Linked DNA regions of Saccharomyces cerevisiae S288C. The protein of the gene in region 2 purifies or fractionates together with the protein of the main gene of each other region. This does not show direct contact. Each region holds a gene or a part of one and is shown on either strand. Other genes may lie near its edges.

Evidence for each region. The genes of interacting proteins can lie anywhere in the genome.
Region 1: the proteins of BUD22 (region 2) and EFG1 purify together in Saccharomyces cerevisiae (affinity purification with mass spectrometry; 3 studies listed by BioGRID). This does not show direct contact.

What each region holds. Positions count from the first base shown.
Region 1 is NC_001139.9:1,037,300-1,040,035, forward strand, and holds EFG1 (Efg1p), read right to left. Parts: upstream 1,203-2,736; coding exon 501-1,202; downstream 1-500. Other genes in the region: SLH1 (RNA helicase), read left to right, coding at 1-395; YGR273C (uncharacterized protein), read right to left, coding at 1,416-1,940; TAF1 (histone acetyltransferase), read right to left, coding at 2,596-2,736. UniProt on the Saccharomyces cerevisiae protein: Involved in rRNA processing. Required growth at elevated temperatures, resistance to hydroxyurea and for cell cycle progression.
Region 2 is NC_001145.3:297,148-300,927, reverse strand, and holds BUD22 (Bud22p), read right to left. Parts: upstream 2,061-3,780; coding exon 501-2,060; downstream 1-500. Other genes in the region: ERG5 (C-22 sterol desaturase), read left to right, coding at 1-59. UniProt on the Saccharomyces cerevisiae protein: Involved in positioning the proximal bud pole signal.

The DNA.
Region 1 (2,736 bases), on a different chromosome or scaffold from region 2:
CTTTTGGAATGACAGAAAGCGAAGATACGAAAAAACGTTTCGTCAGTGTCTGCCAAAGATTACCGGTTTTAGAAGGCATGAAATTTGAAGAACAGGAAAATAACGAGGTGTTAACATTTTATAGCAAGCACCTTTCTAGTAAGCATAATAATGGGTTTGAAGTATATTGTGATAAATTCCCTAAGATACAAAAAGAACTATGGTTTTTAATTGGACACAAAGGCGATGAACTGCTGATGATTAAAAGGTGTCAACCAAAACAAATGAATAAAGAGGTCATAATACATTGTGATCTATTTATTCCCGAAGAAATTCGTGGCGAAGAATTGCAATTTTCCCTTATTAATGACGCTTTAGGATTACGTTATGATATGGTCCATAAACTAATCTCTTAGTGAGACACAATTAAAACAACAATTATTTTGTGAAAGATAACAGTGGAAATCTATCTAGTATACATCTTCGTATATATTTTCTTACATAACGCATTTAGAATTTTTTTACTCAAAAAAGTCATCCTTTTCATCTTCTCCCACAACTTGATCCAATTCTTTTCTATCCTGTGTAGGTGATACTTGTGATCCATCCTCATGATCTTTATCAGGTGATAATGTTAATCCGATGGAATCTTCATCCAATTTCTTTCCCTTCAATATCTCTTCGAAAGATACGTTTAAGGTGTTCGCATCCATTCTTTCAGCTACTAATTTAAGAAATTGTTCTCTTCTAAGATTTGTCAATTCTACGCCCTTTGGGTCTGTAGATGGTGTATCATTCGGATATAGTGCAATATACTTTTCAGTTTTGGGAAAATTTATCACGTAACATAATTCAATTTTAGTGGCTCTCAACTTTTGTTGTAAATCTTTATCATCTGCGCCAGATTCTTTTATTTTCTTCAATAATCTGTTATATTTTCTCAATGCTTTTTTTTTTTCAAAGAATCTCACCATATGATATTTTTTAGCGTTGGCTTTAATCTTATTCTTGAGTTCATTATTCTGCAATTCCAACCGTAAAGCTTGCAAATTTCTTTCCTTTTCTATTATTACTGTGGATGGAAGTATATCTTTCTTCTTTTTTAATAACCTCTCTAAATCTCTTATTCTTCTTTTAATTTTGTTTGTTCCTGCATCCATTATCTGGGACATCTCTAGAGATGACCCAAGAGCCTTGCTTCTCTTCCTCTGTAATTTAGCCATTGATTGATTAGGTTTATTGAATGATATAAGTAAAATAACTAAGTCACGATATTTGTTTTATGTATTGTTTAATTGTAGAGATGAGATGAGTATGAAAATTTTTTTGAATGTGTTTTTCTTAGTGCTCCGGCATAGGGTACCGCAGAAATTAAAGGAATACATATTTTTGAGCTTCAAGCACTTTTTATAATCTTAGCGTACTTATCTTTATATTCATCTGCAGAGTAACCGAGAAAGCCGTGATATGTGTCTTTTCTCCTTTTTTTTTTGGCTTTCCATAACTTTTTCTTCCAGTTGAGATAAATTTATTGAAGCCTGTGAGTCTTGATTAATGACGGCAAATCCAGGTCTAGGTTTAAATCCCAACTTAGATGTTTCTAGCTCTTGCAACCAGCGGGGATCTTTTGTTATGGAGTATTCAAATCCACGTATTGTATCCAATGGCCTTTCATTTCTTGCTCTTGTAGGATTTGAAATATCAGGTGTTTTTATATTCCTACCAAATGTATCCTTCATGGATTTCAAATTTCCATCTTTATCGTAAATAACATAACCATTGCAAGTTGAGTTTTCTGTTAACGGATGTATCTTCTGTAAGTTAGAGAAAGTGGCTTCTTCAAAAGGCTGGGCTTCTTGAACAGCCTCGAGGATTGGAGCGGCCAAAGAAGAAGAGCGTAATTTAATTCTTGATGTATCATCATCCTTTTCTATCTTATCTGAACTTTCGAAATGTTGCATTTTTTGATAAACTATGATTTTAGAGCACTTCAGATATTACTTTAGGAAACTTTTGCTTTAATATTCTTAACATTATAAAATTGACGACAGCATCACACTTTTGAGTGCGTCACAAATGCATATAAATGAAAAAAGGTAACTTAGTTGAGGAAAAAATAGACACAAATTAAAATTTTGATATAATTATAGTAATAAAACTACATAAATCATATTATATTTATCAAGACAAACAGGTTACTATAGGGAAAAAGATTAAATTTTGAGTAAGAATTTGCTTTTGTAAAGGAAAAGAGCAACCAGTATGAAAAATGCATATTAGGGAACCTTTTCTGCTATTGTCCTTTATGTTTTAACCTCTGTGATTTCCAATCAGACTGGAAAAATACAAGCTTTAAATACTCGAGCACAAAGACAACAATTATTGTGTTTAATCAGTGAGTTGGGCTATATTAATGGAACTCAAATAATATGCACTTTTCATCTTACTGCAAAAGTGCACATTCACACACCACGTCCATCGTTTAAGGATATGACTCAATAAATTATCAATCTGATCACTGCCAGTGTTTAGAAACATAGTGTACATTTCTTTATTGTTACATTATACAAAACCTTTACAAAAGTTTTATTCGATCAATACATCGTTATACTGAATCTACTTTGGTGAAGCAGGGTTATCTTTACTGCTATACATTGGACAAGATTTATTTGTTCTAATGTGCCCGATTTGTCCGCATGTAGCACATCTCCTTGTAGTGTTCTTACCTTTATTCCTGGCTGCTTTCCCGTCAGTTAC
Region 2 (3,780 bases):
ATGATTTGTTACTGACTTTCAAAAAGAGAGACCCAATTACTGGAGAAGTCTTCGAATAATGGGGAAAAACAGAACTTTGTCCAGACAATAAATCATATTTACTTCATTAAGGGTTGGCGTTTTGAATACTTTTATTTTCTTCCCTTTCTCTTCATTTCAAATATAACTATTATATAGCAATCATATTTATTATTTAGATTTCTTTTATCATATTCAGGTTTTATAAACAATTTCATTTAGTTTTCTTCCATACGCTACAGCTAATGATCTGCTAAAGGTGCGACTTTACAAACAAATACTCACCCTGCCAGCTTTGGTTTCCTGAATTCTTTTTCGCATAACTAAGTTCCGTGAAGGCGAGCATGACAGCGGTAGATGATACAAAAGCTCAATAATTCAAATGCTATAACGGTACGATGTAAGATATACGCGTACATATATAAAATAGATGTGCTAATAGTTTTTATTATACATGAAGTTAGGAGATGAAGACGTTATGTTCAATCAAATTTGATCTTCTTACCTTCAAATTTAGCTTTTTGTAATTTTTCTTCAGCTAATCTTTTTGCAATCCAAGAAGGATGTTCTTCTCCAGTGGATGCACTTTCTTTTTCTTTCTTATTGTTCGTTTCAGTACGTCTGTCTTCGCGTTCCCTACTCCTAGAGGCCTCTAATGATGCTGCTTTAGCTTCACGCTTAGCTACTCTTGCTTCGTACTCGATTTGCCTCTGCTTTCTATCTTCCATTTCCTTTTCCAATTCCCTTTGAACGTGCTTGGCTTGTGAGCCGTATTTTTTTTCCCAAATCTTTCTTCTTGCCCTTTGCCCACGTCTGTTTTTCCTCTTTGGCTCGTTTGACATCTGCTCTCTGGCCGTACGGTCTTCTGCTGTGTCTCTCTTTTTCTTCTTTCCCTTAACATTTTTGTTGTCTTCATCGCTTTCCTCTTCAGTGTCATTTCCACTGTAATAACCAGCCATTAGTTCAGGTAAATTATGCAATTTTGGTTTTTTTCTCCTTGGTTCATTCTCTTCAGAGTCGCTGAAGCGTTCGTCACTGTCATCCTCATCGGATGACGCTTCGCTAGGTTCTTCATCTGTTACTTCATTGTAATTGATATTAGGGTTCAAGTATCCGCCGCCTTCCCCTTCATCTCCTGAACTGCCTAGCATTCCCTCGTATTCCTTTATCAATAGATCCTCATTGTCGGACGTTGTTTCTTTATTGCTTTGAGTTTGTGCGCCGATCGCATTAGATTTGCTATCGATGGCATTCTTTTCATTGCCGTCATCGGTGTCATAGTCAATGTTGGAGTGCGTCTGATTAGCATTGGCCGTCTTCTCCCTTGCTCCATACTTCTTTGCTTTCATAGCGCTTACATCAAATCCAAATATGAGACAAATACTCAAATCGAATGATTCGGTTAGATTTTGAACGATTTTACTTTGACCAATTAGTGCGTTTAACTTTTCACAACTTGGCAGCTTCGTAATAACTTCATTCCATATATTGCTTGGGTTCCACTTACTTGTCTTATCATTGATATAACCACTATAATCATTGTTATTCAACCAAGTTTTATTATTCGTATCACCTTCAATCTTTTTGCTTTTTTGTTTGATCCTCTGGTGTAAGATTTTGATCAGCCTAAATCTTGTCATGAAGAGTGCTAAATCATCTAATGACAACTGCGTAGCAAGCATCTTTTCAATATCTATAGAGGGTGATTTATTTTTTTGAGCATCCTTCACTTTACTAGAATTTTTTTTGGATATTTTCTGAATTTGTTCTTTTATACATTTTGATAAATGCGTCTCGTAATAGTGAATCTTATTATTGAGTAACTTTGAGTAACTTTCATCTAGTTCTTTGTCCAAAGTTTTCAACTCTAAAGAGTTTAACAGTTTTTCAATTTTCTTTTTGTTCTTTTTACCTATACAATTGTATAATTTGGCAGTTTTTGGATATCTTGGTTCAAACTTCTGTAATGATTTTGTCAAATAATGGTACTGATACTCCAACTGATCAAGCTTGTAGATAGAGACGGATGATTCGGAAGGCATGTTTCCTTTGGGTTATCCGTACACTTGACCTCTTTATACGTATATACTGGTTAAATTGCTTAAAGTAGTCATTCATACACTAAATGCACACAGTGATGAGGTAGATGAGATGAAAATTTTTGCCATATGGGCCATGTAATGTCTGGGTGTTGCTTTAATCGATCACTAACAGATGAAAAAGGTAGAATGGATAAAATACTTAAAGAATTTTATATGGCTTGTGATCAGACTGACGTGCAAATCATTTGATGAGACGTTTTCTTCATTGATGTTCTCAAGAAAATATATAGCTCAAGAAGTTGTCATCACATCACAATTAGTTATAATTAACGCAAGAGAAAATTTACTCAAGTTAATATATTTGAACTCAAATATATTGAAGAGATTAGAGTCGTCCAAATAGTCAGCATTACAATGGTTCGCTTGACCCAATTTCTAAATTTGCTAAAAATATTAAAGCTCAGTACCACGCCCTGTCACAGGCGAAATATCATCAAAGTTAATCGATAAACATTCGAAAAACGCAGTTGACCGTCGTGAAATGTGGAAATCATCATAAACAATTTTTGAAATTGGAGAAAAGTTAAAAACCTTGAAACAGTTTGTACGATCTCTCATCTCTCTCAGATAAATTTTCTAGTTTAAATTGCATCAGACACTAATTGCTCTTTTCAATCATGAAGATCAGACATATGCTTGTCTATTTGAGTAATTTGTTTCATCTTCTGCAGCATTGACGTCTCTAAGGTAGAAATTTTCTTTAAAAAACATGGAAGCAATACAGACACATCAACTGATGAACTAGTTATCTGTCGATTTTTTTCTATTTCCAAATTCTTTGCTAATCGAAAAGAATAATGTAAACAGCTTCAGAAAGGCATGAATGGTAATTTTAATAGTTGTGTCTTCACGAATGATCAGACTCGTCATCTATAAATATCTCATCATAAAAACCAATTCACATAATTATACGAAAATGAGAAAAAAATCCATTCTTCCCTATAGAAAATTCTGTTAGCCCTCAGAAAAACTTACAATGGATCAGTTGCGCGGGTTTTCTAGGCCCGCTAAAGCATTGTCACTCATTTGAAAGGATATTTGTTTCCCCCTCAGTGCCCAGTGCTGTGGATCCTCATTTCCATTGTATCAAATAGATCGAAAACATCAATCTACGGAAGAATAGCACTAAAAAACTACTGTTTTCTAAGCTTAAATGTATTCTTCCAATTTATGGAAATGTGTCAACTTTCTAGTATTTATTTTAAAGGTGTTTGCTAGGTCAGGATAGTGCAAAAACGTATCAACATATACTCGTTCAGCCAGTAATTCCAGCTTTTGTTTTTGTTATAATCATCATATGAACAAACACCTTTGAATAAATATGGAATAAAAAGAAAATTGAAATGGGTGTGGTAAATGAAAGGAGAGCAGAGAAATTGAAGAAATACTACTGTATTTCTATTTAGACTTTTCCTTTCAGTTTTTTCTTCTTTATTGCTAATTAAAAACCTCAGAAATAAGAATAAACGTTCTAATCACAAAAGATTCAGAAACTCTAGTTTGTAAAAATTTATTTTGGTCATCAAGGGAATAATTAGCCTGTGATAATGACAAAAGACATATCTGAAAAACTAACTTTGATAAAGAAGAAAAAAAGAACACGGAAAAAAACGTTTTATGGATTCAATTTCTCTCTCAGCCTTTCATAGCTCCCACTCAT